Linked DNA regions of Drosophila melanogaster. The protein of the gene in region 1 interacts with the protein of each later gene in a biochemical or structural test. Each region holds a gene or a part of one and is shown on either strand. Other genes may lie near its edges.

Region 1 (9,459 bases):
CTGACTATCAAAACTAACAGACACGCGCTGCACGTGCGACCCCTCACCTTCGACCCCGATCATCAGCATCAGCATCAGCATCAGTTCGCTATACTCACTTGTTTCAAGACAAATAAAAACATTGAAAGCGAGTCAGTGGGGGAGAAAAATAGCAGAGCGAAAATCGTGTGAAATAAAAGTTTGTTTGATTTGCTTTGTGCGGAGGAAGTGGGTGGGCAGCGAGTTCGGGAAGTCCTAGAGTCGTGGTGACAAAAGTACACCGAAAAGAAATGTATGTCACATTCTCGGGATTTTCATATCCACGTATATACATATCAACTGAATGTTCTTGAGTTATTTTCTTTATATACAGTTTTCGATCTAATTTAAAGCCATAAAACTAGTTTACATGCAACTTTTGCTTTTTGTGACATGGAACTACGATTTATTTTTATTAGTGCACTGATAAAATAGCGACTGGGATTCCCATTCTTTTGCCATTCAAGCGAACCAAGTACTAGTACTCACACTATTCAAGTCGGGGAATTTTTTGTTTTATTTGGCAGGATGCTGGCGAAGGTAACCCCAGCCCAAGGACTCTATCGCCACTTCCACAACCCGACTCCACCTCCGTTCCTGTCCCTTCTCCATCCATTGCTATTTCAGTCCTGGCACACTCACATCCGTTGTGATAAAAAGAAATATTTTCTTTTGGCAGCAGACTTTGGCTTTTCTTCTTCGTTTTTGGCCCAATGCTTCATTATTACTATATTTATATTTATTTGCTGTACTTTTTCTTTCATTCCATTCCATTTCATTTCATTTTGCTGACTGGTGACTGCTGACTGTTTAAGGTGGCCCAGAAAGACCATTACGCAAAGGATATTGTGTGGCCATGAATCAATTGGCCAATGTCCACAGAAAAAAGTTATGCCCGGAAATATGTTGAACCGCCAAAGTGATGACATTCCATTTGCATTTTCTAGGCTATTTCATGGCAAAAGGTCGCCAGGCCTCGGCAACCAACATAATCGCATGTAATAAATTTTAATTTTTTAAGCATTTGTAAGCAGTTTTATCAGCCCAACAAAGGACGCACAATATTTTTTTAATGCCAAGCCAGCCGAAAAGAAGGAAAACGCGAAAAGGATATAAGATTAAGACGCCAAGCCAAAGTTGAGACATAAAAAAAAAAAAAACAACGCCAAGCAAATTAGCAGCCTAGAAAGTGGGTGTGGCTGGATGGCAAAGGGGAGGATGTGGTTTATCACGCCCACAGCTCGTCGACGGGATATCCGACGCATGGAAGACAAACAAAAAAGGCATTAAATCGCATTTAAGTCAAAGCGAGCGGCGACAAAGCCGAAAATGAAACCAAATCCCGAATCCTCAGTATCCAGATCGCAGAAAGAAGCCGAAAACATCCACCACTTCAACTTGACTTGGCAGAGACTTTCACGGGAGAACAAGGACAACTGGCACTCGAGACAAGGATGTGTCGTCGATTTCATACAGCTTATCACTCCTTCGAGAAGGATGCAAAGTTGGTGAAAACATTATACTGAATGGCGGTAGAAACTTGTAATTGAATATATGTATGTTTATAAATTATTGTGATTTTTTTATTAAGAGATATAAGGTAAAATACAGCAACTTTGTTTTTAATCCACAAATTTGAGTGTGCACTGTTTTTCGAAAGGTGAACTGCGAACTGCGATAAGAAGCCCACGACGATTAACCGCATGGCCCTATTTTGATAGCATAACATATTAAGAGATTACAAAGTAGAATCGCTTGGAAACAGCGCAAACGAGATCAATGATCGTAAAATGGCATAGTCATAATGGTTTGAGTATTTTATACCTTATCGAGGAAGGAACTTTGCTGGTTGAATTAAAAGGTATCAAGAGGAAACCGAAGTCAGCCAGAAAAAATGAGTTTAAAGGATGGGCGATGGATGACATTACTATGCACATAAAGCGCATTCCATTCGAATGTCCAAAGCCGGGAGCAATTAAAGCGAGCAGCTGTCGCCTCCGCCGTAAATGCAGCGGCTCACAATGCCGGAATGTTTTTTTTTTCACTCCGGCTACAGTGGGTGCAAAAAGGACACCCCTGCGGCACAAAGGAGCAATTAATGCGAAATTGTAGCTGCATAATTGCTGAACATGCAGCAAAAGGGGACGAGTGGCATAAAGAAGCAATTAATGGCGTACAAATGCGCTTGGCATGCATAAAAATGGCAAGTTGGGAAAAAAAAAGGCGTGCAAAGTGCAGCAGAGGCAAATCAAAGTTGCTTTTACTGCCCATTTTCTGGTAGGAAAAACTGAAATCCAAAGGCTGAATGACCCGGCCGGAGCTGCCAAACAATTGCAATTACATTAGAAAAGGAACAGTAGCAACAACAATTACAGTCGAGCCAAGATAGCGATGGCCAAAATTCCTGAATATCATTATCATATCTTAGTTTGAATGTAAAATCGTATCTCATTATCATATCTTAGTTTGAATGTAAAAGGTTGAGAAAGCTTTTACCATTTATCTGCTTATATATGTATAGTTACCAATCTGCAGTAAGAAGCCTTACCACTCTCTTGTTTGCCTTAAATATTTAAAGACATTTGAATTACTTTATTCATATGTTTACCTTGCCGATGAATCGCATTGTCATTTTCTTTGGGATATAGTACATCCCTAGGCGAAATCTAAGCTATGGCCACCCACGTAGCGCTTTTCACTTCCGTTGCATGCCAGGCACGTTGCAAAATTGTCGCAGCACAGACAACCAACCAACAAAAAAAAAAAATGGCAACAAAAATCGCTGGGCGAACACAAAAGCCACGGACAAACGAATTGCCAATTTAAATGTGAATAGAAAAATTGCATCGACTCGCCCATCGCATTGCTCACCCACCCACTGCAATCCTTTATCCTTTCACAATCGCCAATCACTCACTCACGCGAACAATGACGCTGCCAAATGCTACGTGGCCGTCATTTTCCGGCTCCAACTCTGCAACTTTTTGCACTCTAAGTGTATTCACATGTTTATTCTAAGCATTCGTATTGGAATTTTAGATAGACACCCCAAAAAACATGCATAAGCCCATAGATCGATCAGCTTATAAGAAACCGCTAAGATCTTTCAATGGATTTAAGCATAAATATTTCTAAACAAGCACCATTTAACATGCAATTAGAGCACTCACTAAGTTCAAATGAATTAGCAGCAATAATAATGTATTAATTTGTCAAACAAGTCACGCGTTCACCGATTATGCTGATTTCTTGCACATAAACAAATTCATAAATTCTATAACTTATCAGCACAAAGTCGAATTTTTCCATGCTTAGAGATGTTGACTTCCTTGTCCTTATCAGTAAACAAATTTGCATGATGAAATGGATGAACTTCATATTCCTTTTCTTTCTAATTTAATTTTAATTAATAACATATTGCATGTAACTTGATACTTTCTTAACATGCTACAATACAAATGCGAACTGCACTTTGCAAGATGTTTGCTCCGAAAATAGACTAATCAGCGTGGCCAGCAAACAAAAGCCAAAAGATCAAGAAGTGGCTTGCAGAATTGTAGATCAATGAACCAATTAAGATAGATTGACTGGCTTGTGACCCACAAAATAGAAACGAACCGGAGTTACGTACCCTATTTGGTCAGAATCCCGAAAGGCCCCACCGCTTTCGGGAACAATCCATGACAACAATTTATTTAATTTTAATTGCATAATGAGTGAGCGGTTTTTTTAGGAGCTTCTGGGCTGATAAACATATTTTCGCACCAGCAAAATTCATTCAACCCAATCGGGAGTCAAGCGATAGGCCTATAGGATGCACTTTGGGTCGATAGGAATTTCGGGTATAAAAGCTGCAGCGAGCGGACTGAAAAATGCAGTTGCCTGCTGGTCTGTGTTGCAGCAAGTTAAATCCATCTGAGCTCTCCAATCCTTCAGTTTCTCAATTGATCAGTTAACATCAATAGTTGTTACAATCAAGATGAACAGAATCATGCTGTTGGTGGCCTTTGCGGCCGGCGTTGTGGCTGCTGGAAGGATAACTACGAATCAGGACAGGGTCCAGGGTATTGGTAATGTGGTAACGCGCAAATGAAAGGATTTATATACTATTTATTTCCCCTTTTTCGCAGACCGCATGTCCTTGGAGGATCTGCAGCTCCAAAAGTTTATCCTGGATATCGTCCAGAATATTCGTCAGCCTCTACAGCAGAGTGAGCTCATCAATCTAGATGTGGGTCTGATTGCAGACAGTCAGCGTTATCGTGGCGGCATTGATAAGGTGATGCATAACGTCATCGATCTGGATCGCCAGCGTCGCCTCCTCGACGAGCACCAGGTGTACTCCGTGGGTCGTTTGGAGCATGTGCAGCAGCTGCGTGGCATATACCGCCTGCTGGCTCGCGCCCAGGACTTTGACACCCTTCGCCGTAATGTGGTCTACCTGCGCCGTAACATTAACCCTGTCCTGCTGGTTAATGCCTTGGCTCTGGCCATTCGCGATCGTGAGGACACTCAAGCTCTGATCGTGCCCGCTGTCCAGGAGCTGCTCCCCGAACTGTATCTGGATGAGGAAGTGATTCAGCAGGTGCGCAGCGTCCTAAGGGAACAAACCCAGCGCCCATCGCTCATGGACATCGTGGGTATGCGCCAGCGGGCTATGAACCCAGTGATGAGCATCCTGATGCCCTGGAGGGAGATCCACATGCAGATGGCTCTAAGGAAACAGCAGAACATCCAGAACGTTTTGGGCCAGAAACGCGTCGTTGTCCGTGCCGAGAACCAGGGACAGGTTGAGGGCACCTCTCTGCTGACGGACGATATTGAGTTGCAGAACTTTGTTCAAAATCTCATACAGGAACTTGCCCTTCTGGAGGATGTTACTCAGTTGGAGCAGAGCCAATTGATCAACAATGATCAACGTGAAGAGCAATGGGTCGGTCGTCAGCGCGTGCAGTACCAAGATAACAACCAGGAAAGAGATCTGGGTCAGGATGTAGACACTGGACGCCTACTCCGTGTGAGTCGCCGCCGCCTTCTGGAGCAACAGGATGAATATCAGGGTCAGAACATCTATGGAAACCAAAAGGATCGTTTCCAGCGTCTCCTCCGCCGGGATGACGACAACGACGACAATGATGACGATGATGATCAGGATATTCGCATGGGTCGTGTCCAGCTGCAGCGTGGTATCAGCCAGGGAGGTCTCCGCATTGGAGGAGCTCATAACCTGCCCACCGTTAGCGTGAACAGTGACCGTCTGCTTCACGTGAGCCGTCGCCGTTTGAACGCCATCCAACAAGATCAGCAGCAGGATCAGCTGAACGGTCGCCAGCGTTTCATGGGTTTGGTGAGAGGAGACCGCCTCAGTGAGGGTCGTCGTGTTGGTCAGCTGGATGATGTGCGTCAGGAGCGTCAGAACAACTGGCAGAAGCAGGACTACATCTTGACACAAGGTCGCACTTTCGGAGTCCAGCAGGAGCGTCAAAACTATGCCGATCAGTTGGAGAGCGTGAGCCGCGACGACGAGCGATTGGTGCATATTAACCGACGCCGCCTCAACCAGGACAACCAGGACATCCAGCAACAACAGATGCATTTTCCCCGCAGGATTAACTCCATTGGCGAGGGTCGCCGCGTCATGGGTGAGCGCCCCATCCAAGATGAGGACATTCTGAAGCTAATCCGCGGCGAAAACCGTCTGAAGCTGATGACCGATGATGAGATCCTTGAGATGCTGCAAAGGAACCGCCAGCAGCGTCTGCAAAAGCACCAGAACGATGATGATGACGATGTCAACGATGACGATGTGAATGTGGTGCACCGACAGGGACTACGAAGCCGCCGCAGCCTTCCCAATCTCCGTCAGCAAAACAACCGCCTCAGCGAAATTGTCCTGCACAATCTTCGCCAGCTGGTCGCACGTCTTAACCAGGAAAGCATCGCCCAGGGACAGCTGATCGAAGAGCAGCAGCAGTTGATCAACAATCCCCGCCTGACGCAATCCGAGCGATATGCCCTCCGCTTGAACCAAATCCGAATCAATTCCCAGCGCAGCCGTCAAGTCCTCGCCCAGATCGGCCAGATTGAGCAGCGTATCCAGGAGGTTATTGGTCAGGTGCTGAACCAGGTGAATGTCAACTCGCTGCGTGGCCAGGTAATCGATCAACGCCAAGTGGAATCCCTGATCGCCGATGTACTGCTGGGTCGCCTTGGTCAGGTTGGCATCATGACCATTATCCGCCAGGTGGTCCAGGACAACAACATTGAGCAAATCGATCGTACTGGCTTGGGCATCCGCCTCAGCGATCCCGTCGTGCAGTACACCCTGCGCCGGATTGTGAGGATCGTGGACGAACAGCGTGAACAAATCCTTGGAGGCTACCGCCAGGAGCAACTGCAGATGCGCGGTGTTTCGATCAACGATGTTCGTGTGGATAAACTGCGCACTCGCATCGAGGAGCACGAATTGGACCTGAGCAACTTGGTCGAGCAGCAGGTTCAGGGCATCCAGCAGGAGATTGTGGGACGCCAGCGTCGCCTCAACAACAAGGCCTTCACCATTGACATGGACATCACTTCGGATCAGGATCAGGATGCTATTATTCGCATCTTCCTGGGACCCGCAGAGGATCAACAGGGAAGGCAAGGAGCTTCCCTGGATGAGCGCCGACGTGACTTCGTTCTTCTCGATGCCATCCAAGTGCAGCTGGAGAATGGACGCAACCGCATTCATCGCAGGTCCATCGATATCCCCTGGACAACTAGCGATGTGACGCCCCTGGTGGAGATCTACCGCCAAGTGATGCTGCAATTGAAGGGTCAGCAGGCGCAACAGGTCGTGGGTATCCAACAGCTGGTCGGCGAGAACGGACGCTTCCCCCAGCACTTGCTGCTACCCCGTGGAAGGCCCGAGGGTCTCCCCATGCAACTCCTGGTCGTGGTTTCTCCTCTGGTTGAGCTGCAGGTTCAGGACGTCGTTCCCGCTATCACCATTGGCATTGGCTCCGCCTCTCTTCGTGATGCCCGCCCATTGGGTTATCCTCTGGACCGGCCCATCCATAACGAGCAGGAGCTCCTGCAGTTGACCAATGTCCTGCTTCAGGATGTGGTCATCATTCAGGAGAACTAAGTTCCCAATACGAAGTTCCAAATATGTTAAACCGATCGTCTGGCCAGCTGCTATTCAATGGACCTATCCGAAAATCCCCTGTCGAACCCTAGTTTTAATTAATCGAATCTAAATCAATTTAGCAAAATAGCAAAATGTTAAATACTCTTGTAATTCATATATATATATATATATATTTGTCATTAAAGTTTTTTGCAAGCAATGCAATGCAATCAAGCATTAAACTTTTGTTTCATATTGGCCGCAAAAATAAGTTAACAAAATGTTCACTGGTAAAGTTATAAAGCCCTGATCATTGCCTACACAAATTGTATCCTTTTGGGAAAACTCTTGCTATTAAGGGCTCCCCTAAACCTCCAATTTTGCTCCTTATTGAAATTGTCACTTTTCTCGATTATCCCCCAAAATGGTTTTATCGTTTTATCGCACCTCATATACCCAAGTGCCGTTCACCTTTTCTAATTTCGAAAAACAATTTCAATGCAAATTGCATGTCCATCGTGGAGCGGGATGAGGGGCATTGGAATTGCTGATGGTAGGGATTACAGGCGGCTGCCACGCCCCCAAACAATGCCCGCCCACAGAACAAGCGGATGCCAGGATAGCCAGACAATGCAACGACCAAATGGCTGGCAGGCAACCCATCCTGGCACTATAATAGACTTTTCTTATTCTTGCCACACAACTCAATTTGCAACAACGACAGGGAAATACGTATACGAATACATATACATATATAACTGAACCATAGCGCAGACGCCCAGCGAAGCGTCAATTGCCAAATTAATTGGCCGTAAAAAATTGAAAATGAAAATATAATCACACTTTCCGTTGTCGAGCTTTCGTTGTCACTGGCTGGCTCAGGTCCAAACGGATCCAAACGGCTTTTCACCCTCTATATGTATTTGGTCCGCTATAGAAGCGTTTTCCCATCACGCCCGGATCTAGAAGCGAATCCTGGGGATTGGGGATATGGGGGCAGCTGGGAAGTCGACCAACCAAAGAACGGTAGACATTTCACCGCAGGCAGTTAAACGTTGCATTTTTCCAGGTTGCCCTGTCCTCACACCTGAGGTGATACCCTGTGGCATCTGAATACTACAAGGGTAGCACTGAAACCTAATACAATATAATATATATTGCTATTATTATTATAAAATTGTTAAATTTATCTAATATATTTTTTAGGTTTTGTATTCGTTCCACACAAGTTCCGCTTTCATCAACAAAGTGAAATTGTGGTATCTTAGCTGCAAAACTTACATACTCGATAAGTTTTTTCGAAATTATTACCGAAATTATTATTATTATTACTTTCGCGTCTATGGTTCTAAGTTTTCAATTTGAAAAAGAGCTACAACTTAGTCGATCACTTCTTAGTTTCTCGCCTTGTTCTTGGCAAAGAATGTGGCACGTTGCATAATGGAAAAATGTTCGCACTCGACCTGATACTGTTTCCCCGACTTTTACCGCCTCAATGCACTTTCATTATCTTCGAGTGGGTTCGCCGTTCATTCCATTTTATTTTGCTGCCACCGCTGTTGTTGATGTGCCTTTTTTGTATTTTGTAATTTGAAATTTAAAATCTTGTTTTCTTTAGTTTGTTGTGTCTGATGAGCTGATTAGGGGCTCCAGAGAGTTGGGGCATTACACGAGCTATTAGGCAGCCGCCTAATGCGAAAGTAATTATGTCTTGTTAATCAGACAGAGGCTGTTTGGGGCCAAAGGCTATTTAACCCGTAAGTTTATCGGTTCATGCCCTTTTCCTCCCATTCCCAAGTCCGAATTGAAGGTAGCTGAAAGGCGAAAACTTTTGTGATTAGCGAGCGCCCCTTTGCAGCGGTGCAGATAGCGTCTTAAGAACATCCCGAAAAGAACACTTTAAAATATATTTTAAAGATTTGAAATAAGAAGTATTACTTCATAATTAGTTACACAATTTACCACATTTGTTTAGTTTTATAATTTAATAAATATGCTTGCAAAGTACAGTTTAGGTAACATTACAAAATTAATACTCATAAAAACTGATTGTTAGTTTCCTAAATTACCAGTTTATACCAAAAACAAAAATCAAATATATAAGTAAATGAACGTAATGACATGATATACTTCTAGAAAGTACATCTCTTCAGAGATCTTGTTTTAATTAAAAAATTGTATAAAATGCTTCTCACTTTCACCAAACCATTCTGATTTCGGCTGAGTGCTTTTGAGGCGGAAACGCTCGTATAATTTATGTTCTGCCTTGGCGCTCTGGCAACGGAAATGCCGGCGCGTAGTTTTGCCGCGCCCACGAACTCATACCGAGA
Region 2 (8,691 bases), on another chromosome or scaffold:
CAGCAACGGAGATACCGAGAAGGGAGAATTGTCCAGAAGACCCGTAAAATGTTACATCTTCTGGATGCTGAAGATTCACCGATGGATGATGCCCCTCATCTGGGCTAATCCCCTTCCTCACACACATACACACACATATATATATATATATATATATGCATATATACCATACCGATTTCAGCGTTGACAAACTTTGGCTTTTTTTGATTCTAAGCGGCTGCGACGCCGACAGAGGCTCAGTTCGTTGTCCGGTTCCTATTTCTGTCGACTTCGCTGCCGGCGTCGCTGATAATACCATATATAAGGAAACAAGAAGTCGCATCGTTTGTATTTATTTGCTAGAATCTGTGAGCATCGGAACTAACCGAGCCGCTACAATAAAAAAAAAAAAACATAAATTAGTCCTCGTTACGAAAAAAAAAACACACATAAAAATGAAGAGTTTTGTAAGTGCCCGAAAGTACTGAAAAGTATATATTTAATGAGTTATTTTTTTTTTTGTGGTGTCTCAATAAAAAAAAGGATCAAGTGAAAGTGCGCGCAAAAAATGTCCTTCAAAAGTGTGAATACTTTTAAGCCACAGAAATGACTTTAAAGCTTATTTTGAATCTCAAACAAAAGATACACATTAAAATCAATTTAACCGAAGTTCCTGCGAGGCTGCTTTTTAGTTTTTTTTAAGCTTTACCTAAGAATTAGTATGCCAAATTAAAGAACTAATGACCCACACTTTAAGGAAAGTCCGAAACCTAAAGTGTTTGAATATCACCTTGAGCAGCCGCATAGCTCATCGACGTCAAAACAGACGAATGACAAATATCGAAACGGTTGGAACCCATTATGATTAGTGCCTCGGCCCGAAACCAAATCAAATAAATCACAGCAAATATAGATAAAAAAAATTAAAAAGACTAAAAAAAAAACGAAAAAAAAAATAAATAAACGAGAGAATTGCGAGACAAAGCGACGCTGTGCGGTCAGAAACGCCAGCGATTCGCGCGCGACTTTGATTAATTGCCCGTTAATGCGAAATGCAAAATACGAATCCCAATTCAAATCCAAATCAAAATCCGTATCCAAATCCGAATGCGAAAAAAATAAATCGTAACGACTGTGATCCACAGATATGACTAATGCATCGTGTGACAAGTGGCACTAACCAGGCATTCTATCTTTTAGCTGATCCTTCTGGGTTTCGCTGCTCTGGCCGCTGCCGATGTCAAGCATCTGACAGATCGCAATCTGGACCTCTTCAAGTACAATCCCAGCGATATCTACACCCTGCCCGAGGACATCGATGACGACAAGCCGGCGGTGCACTTTAGCGGCGATGTCATGAAGGCCAAGACCGAAACCCTCCAGAACTACAACTCGGGCAAGAAATTCAAGCTGGAGTGAGTATCTATGGTACCTATATAGTTCATAAAGTGATAGTGTTTGGCTAAATTAAAACATAATTATATATTTATATATGAAGTTGAATCGCAGTCTAAAAGAAAACTACTTTAACATAGGTTTATAGATCTGTAATAACTTTTGATGCATAGCAAATAAATTCAAGTAATTTGATATATTTTTTTAAATAATTTACAAAGCATCAAGTAATTTGATATATTTTTTTAAATAATTTACGAAGCATTACTAAAGTTAAAATGAACTTTTTTTTCAGACTGAAGACCCAGAACGGCATCGAAGTGAGCAGCGTGGGCAAACTGAAGGACGACAAGACCTTCGTGGTCAGCGGCTCCTACTCGTTCACCGGCGCCGATGGCAAGCGGTACAAGACCCGTTACACCGCCGATGAGTTCGGCTATCATCCCATCACCGAGCTGGATCTGGACATTCCCGAGTGAGTAACCAATACACTTTACAAAAAAAACGTTTAAGAACTTCTTCAAACTAGCACATTTGCGTACAAATCAGAAGTTTCATACACTATTATTGCAAATGATATAATGAATATAAAAAACTTATTTTATATTTATATATTTTAGACCCCAGCCTTTGGCTTCTGCCGGACAGCGCCAGACCGTGGATCCCAGCAGCCTGTTGGGCAACAAGAACCGTTTCCAGTTCCTGCAGCAGACCCTGGACTCCGATCAAGGATCGCAAGGTCCTCTGAGGGGCAGTGGACAGAGTGGCGATGACTATAGCTACACGTCTCCCTATGGAAATGGCAATGCTTACGGTAATGGAGTTGGAAACGGATACGGAAATGGAGTTGGCAACGGATACGGAAATGGAGTTGGAAACGGACAAGGAAATGGAGCTGGAAACGCATACGGAAATGGAAATGGAGTTGGAAACGGATACGGAAATGGCAACGGCAATGGCTACGATTATCAGCCACCTCAGGTGCCCCTGGCGACGCCATCTCGTCTGTATCTGCCCACCGCATAAGGCGATTATTATTTAGATATACCCTTATCCAACACCCTTCTCCCGCAAGATTTATGCCCCACCCGATTCCCGATTCCTGATTCCCGATTCCCGATTCCCGATCCTCGATTTTCCCCCCAGCTGCAAGTATTTAGTTTTTAAGTGCAACTCCAACAGGCAAATGAAGAGTAAAACAGAGCTAGCGAAATTTTTTTTTATCATTTTTTAGTGTTATACACGGAGCACAATTTTATATGATATTATACACTGATATATGTTATATATCTAGCCTACACAAAAACACGCACACACACACACAAAAAAAACAAACACACACACAAATCCCGAGCAAAGACACAAACGAATCTATGTATATACACTGAGTGATATTAGTAGTAAATAAAATGGCTAAACTAACGATCAAAGTTTTAATGTGTTTTAATTGAGGAATAATATGGATGGGGATATTTATATATATATTTTGGCTTTGTAATAAAATGTTATTGCAAGCAATTGTTGAAATTTTATTCAGCATCGTTACAAAAAAAAATTCGTTGTTTCAGAATAAAGTTAAGTTTTATTAACTGAAAATGAATAGTTTGTTTACTGTTTTATAAGCATGGCATATACAATTTTCCAACTTAGATACAGAATCTATTATTACAGATTATGATTTTGTTCGAATGCCTAAAAGCATGCAACAAACGTATGAAATTCATCTGCATCTACATATAAATATATAAATTAAAGCGATATTTAATGACTTCTAGTTAAGGCTCTTAGCAGCAGACAAGTTTGCTTGATAAATTCGTTATGTATATGGAATTTAAAACTTTTTTAAAAACGGAATAGAGTGGTAGCCAAATGGTCAAAGTTATGACATTGCTCATACGCCACGTTGTACACACTTTTCTCAAAATAATGCCTGCCAATGCTTAACTTTAGTTCGTAATATGTATATGATTGGTAATATCTCTATATTATATACATATAAATAATTAAAATTCAAAGCGATTGAAACTTGTGCAGAAATTGCAGACAAAGAACCGAATCTAACGCTATTTTTGGAATGCAAATCTGGACTCGATATGTAGGGACCAACGTAGGCTGTCCAGAGATAAGCTGTTGCGGTGCAGTAGCAACAGATGTTCGTGGCGAGCACCTGAGATACACCCGATGATCCCTGATCCCGTCGTCACAGATATGTTATTTCCGATTACCGCGGGAATCTGTGGCTATATAAGCAGACCCGTGGGCGTCGGTAAGGCAACAGTCTTTAGGCATTGGATCCATCAAGTGCATCCGATCCGGAGCAGTTAAAGTTGAGTGTTTCGAACAAAAGAAGGAGTTTCCAGGATGAAGTTTGCCATCGCATTCCTGGCTTGTGTGGCCGTGGTCACTGCGACCGCTTACCACAAGACCCACGACATCAAGGTCGCTGACAAGGCGTTCCTGATGAAGCAGAAGTTCCTCTTCGAGATCGTCTACCGCGTGGAGGATCCGCTGATGTTCGAAGAGTACATTGCGATGGGAAAGCAGTTCTATTTCGACAAGGAGCACTACACGGTAAGTGGGAGAAGAAAGCGGATTCCGAGTGGTCAGTACCACAAAATGCACCTTCAATTCTTCGCAGCACTTCGATCTGTACATGGAGAAGTTCTTCGAGGCCCACAAGGCACACGCTTTGCTGCCCAAGGGCGAGTTCTTTGGCGCCCTGGTTAAGCACCATGCCAAGCAGGCACGTGGACTCTTCAACTTCTTCTACTACGCCAAGGACTGGGAGACTTTCATGACCAATGTGGCCTTCGCTCGTATGCACTTCAACGAGGGCATGTTCGTCTATGCCCTGACCCTGGCCGTGATCCATCGCGATGATTTCCATGGACTCGTTCTGCCCGCCATCCATGAGATCTTCCCGCAGTTCTTCTTCAACAGCAAATTTGTGATGGAGGCCGAGAAATTCGACTATGAGATGTGGATGAAGACTAGCCTGTACGAAAAGGAGTATATGGATGTGTACCACAAGATTCCAACTTTCTCCTCATACGAACATGGATACAAACAAGGAATGGCATACGGATACGGTAAGACACACGGACATGGACAGACATATGAACACGAATTTGGCAGCATGTACCAGACCAGCGACTACATGTACATGAAGGACTTCAAGACATGGCAGTGGTGGAAGCTGATGGGTCTGGGCGAGCACTGGTACAGTGAGAGCAACTACATACTGCGCGAGAACATCTACGAGTACAACCAGGAAAGCAACTGGCTGACGATGATGAAGGACGTGAAGAAGTTCTACATGCCGGTGGACTATAGCCGCGATCTGTACCTCTACAACGAGGAGTCCAAGCTGTCCTACTTCACCGAGGATCTGGGATGGAACAGCTACTGGTACTACTTGAACATGGACTACTCCTTCTTCCTGGACGGCAAGACTTTTGGCCTGCAGAACGATCGTCGCGGTGAATGGTGGCTGTACAATGTGCACCAGCTACTCAGCCGATACCACATGGAGCGTTTGTCCCATGGCCTGGGCGAGATTCCTCAGTTCTCCTGGTTCCACCAGATCGAGATGGGCTACGATCCACAATTGATCTACTACAACGGCATTGGCTACAGCTATCGCAAGAACTACTATGAACTGGAGACGTACGGCAACTTTGAGATGCTGGACAAGATCACCGGCTTCCAGCAACGCATCCAGAACATCGTCGAATTGGGCTACTACCAGACGACCGATGGTCATATGATCGATCTGCGCAAACCGGAGTCCATTGAGATCATCGGTAATATGCTGCAGGGCAATGTGGATGCCATTGACAACATTTTCTTCCAATTCTGGTACATGCTGGCCCATATGTACTTCGCCGATACCCACTACTATCAGATGGAGGTGTACCCCAATGTGATGCTAAACTTCGAGACAATGATGCGGGATCCCATGTTCTATATGTTCTACAAGTCGATCGCACAGGTCTACTTCCAGTTCATGCACCATCTGCCCAAATACACCAAGGAGCAACTTCTCATGCCGGGCGTTACACTGAAGCATGTGGAGGTCAGCGAGCTGGTTACCTACTTCGATCTGGTTGACTTCGATGTGACCAACATGCTCAACGGCAAGATGGTCTTCCACGAGGGTCAATTCTTGTGGGACAAGTCCTTGTTTGCCCGCCAGATGCGTTTGAACCACAAGCCCTTCAGCTACACCTACACCATCGATTCGGCCAGGGATGAGAAGGTGGTCATTCGCGCTTTCCTGGGACCCAAGTTCGATGAGTACGGCAGGATGATCTCGCTGACGGACAACCGCATGAACTTTATGGAAATCGATGAGTTCACCTATACCCTGAAAACGGGCAGCAACCTGATCACCAGGAAGTCAACGGACTTCGCTTGGACCGTCAAGGATCGCACCACCTACACTGAGCTGTACTACTACACGATGATGGCGTTCGATGGCAAGTATGATTACCCGCTGGACCTTACTGAGCCCCACTGCGGATTCCCCGATCGTCTGGTTCTGCCCATGGGCTGGAAGAAGGGCATGCCCATGCAAATGTTCTTCATGGTGGTTCCATACATGGCGCCACAGCACGAGCAGTTCTCCACTTTTGACTACACCTACTCGTGCGGCATCGGATCCGGAGCTCGACACGTGGACAGCCTGCCTTTTGGATATCCCTTCGATCGTGAAATCAACGAGTACGAGTTCCACGTGCCCAACATGTACTTCAAGGATGTGACCATCTATCATGCGGATACAATGGAGAAGTACTATAACTACAAGGAATACACCAACTACGGTCACTTCGATTACTCCTTCTTCAACGACTACTACACCAAGTACTTCAAGTTGTAGATCTGATAACATTCCGATTTTGACCATGGATCGATTGTAGTTAGTAAGCATAGCAAAAAGTGAAATAAACTTTCGAAAATCCAACGTATTCAGATTTCTCTGTTCAGCTTGTCAAAGGGATCGTTAGATAGCTGGTTCAACTTAGCCAAGCTATGATAATAACCGACAATGGAGGTCTTTGCAAAACAGTTTTTGCTCTACATTGTATTTCTAGCAAAAAGTCGATTTTATATATTTCTTGTCCAAAAAGAATCAATTTTTTGGCATAACTTTAGAAATAATAATTTCAATCTAGAATGAAATACCTTGTTGATCTCGTATTGAAATTCCCAATCGAACTACTAGGAAAAATGCGAAATGTAGTTTTTTGCCATTTTTTGCAAATTTTGATGATGACCCCTTACAAAAAATGCGAAAATTGGTCTAAAAATAAATTTTCCTAAGTCCTTCAAAAAATGATAGGGATCGTTAGGATTGGTAATTAGCTGCTCAAAACAGTTATATTGTCATCTATATGACAAATTTTAGCGATGTTATGACGAAAATTCCGTTTGTAAAATCAAGTTTTTGGTAAAAACCCGTTTCTTTCAAATTTCGGTCAATAAATAATCCGTTTTTTTGCCACAACTTTTAAAATAATGGCCCCAATATGGAATGTCATACCTCGTTGAGCTCGTTATTTAATTCCAAATCGAACTGTGTCCAAAAATTGGAATTCTATTTTTTCGCCATTTTTTGCAAATTTTGATGATGCAAAATTTACAAAAAATGCAAAAATTGTCAAAAAAATAAATTTTCCTAAATCCTTCAAAAAGTGATAGGGATCGTTAGCATTGGTAATTAGCTGCTCAAAACAGTTATTCTTTCGTCTATATGACATTTTATAGAGAAGTTATGACGAAAATTCCGTATGTAAAATCACGTTTTTCGCAATACCCGTTTTTTTAGAATTTCCGTCAATAAATAATCCGTTTTTTTGCCACAAATTTAAAAATAATTGCCTGAATATTGAATGTCATACCTCAATGAGCTCGTAATTAAATTTCCCATCAAACTGTGTCAAAAAAAAGGAATTCTATTTTTTTGCTATTTTTTTCAAATTTTGATGATGTTACCCCTTACAAAAAATGAGAAAATTGACTCAAAAATAAATTTTCCTAAATCCCTCAAAAAGTGATTGGGGTCGTTAGCAATGGTAATTAGCTGTCCAAAACTGTTTACATTACATCTTAATGATTATTATTAGCAAAATTATGATTAAAATTCCCATCGAAAAATGTATGAAATTTTGCCAATACCGTTTTTCCGATTTTTGAAATTAATATTATCGGTTTTTTTTTAAATAGGTGTCTGAATATATACCTCTTTGAGCTCGTTCTTAAATAATCTATCCAAAATATTCCACATCAAATGTACATACATATGCTTCTCACGTTTTTTACTCATACATAAAAAAAAATACGTCTTTCATAATATAATTAATTACTAATAATTATACAAATATTATAGTTTATATAAAAAAAAATTATTTGTCATCATATTATTGTACTCATTGAAGGGCTTAAAACTCAGCCTGGTAGTATGCAGATGATGGTGAGGCTGTTTCTGAACTATTTCCCAGGAGCAGCTCGATCCGTTTCCTGGCCTCCACAAAGGCGGCCATTACTTCGTCCAGAGTGGTGGCCCTCGAAGTATCCGGATTTGAACTGGATCTGACATCGTCATCATTGCTATCGCCATCGTCGCTACTATCGTTGCCGAGTTCCAGATGGAAGTGGTGATGGAACTGATCAGATGTGTCTATTTGGCGCTGCTGAAGCTTTTGAAGCCGGAGCGAAAGTGTTCCCGTGGTGGTCATTGGCCTGTCAGAGTTGAAGTTCAAACGGGAATGCATTTCCGATTGCCGATGTACATCGAAGAAGGACTCAAAGTCGAACAGCTGACGACCGCCTATGAAATACCGATTGAGGGCATCCAGCCAGTTGCCCAGTGGTCGGATGCACTGCAGCCGTATGGAGTCCGTTGGCAGGGCGGATGTTAACGGTATCGCATAGTGAGCATATCCCTCACATCGCTCCCGCTGCCAGCTATCTATGCTGATCACTTCAAAATATAGATGCAGTAGATCAGCCGGATGATGTTGTTCCTCCAGCAGCAGGGTCACCTGCCAGCAGTGACCCAAATGGGCACTCCTCCAGTCGCCGGCATTCCTGCACGTGGCCGTCGCTCCCTGCATGGTATCCACCCCAGGTGTACCCTCATAAAAGGTATTTGCTGGTGCTTTCAGATAGTATCTTACATGTATGTTGGGGTTCTCAAAGTTCTGGCCTTCCTGTAGTTCCAGCAGCAGGCTGACCCGCTTCATCCTCTTGGGCGGCATTTCGAACTGGAGGAGACTTCTCCTCTCGCTGGCTGCTTCTCGCCGTCTGCGATAAAAC

The links. The genes of interacting proteins can lie anywhere in the genome.
Region 2: the proteins of Fbp1 (region 1) and Lsp1alpha form a complex in vitro, tested with the Drosophila melanogaster proteins (one study listed by BioGRID).

The regions. Positions count from the first base shown.
Region 1 is NT_037436.4:14,092,498-14,101,956, reverse strand, and holds Fbp1 (Fat body protein 1), read left to right. Parts: upstream 1-3,903; 5' UTR 3,904-3,997; coding exon 3,998-4,088; exon of another isoform or gene 4,089-4,148; coding exon 4,149-7,147; 3' UTR 7,148-7,368; downstream 7,369-9,459.
Region 2 is NC_004354.4:12,486,648-12,495,338, forward strand, and holds Lsp1alpha (larval serum protein 1 alpha), read left to right. Parts: upstream 1-3,643; 5' UTR 3,644-3,735; coding exon 3,736-3,945; intron 3,946-4,012; coding exon 4,013-6,253; 3' UTR 6,254-6,335; downstream 6,336-8,691. Other genes in the region: Cpr11A (cuticular protein 11A), read left to right, coding at 435-446, 1,180-1,394, 1,670-1,849, 1,995-2,400; Mks1 (meckel syndrome, type 1), read right to left, coding at 7,815-8,691. UniProt on the Drosophila melanogaster protein: Larval storage protein (LSP) which may serve as a store of amino acids for synthesis of adult proteins.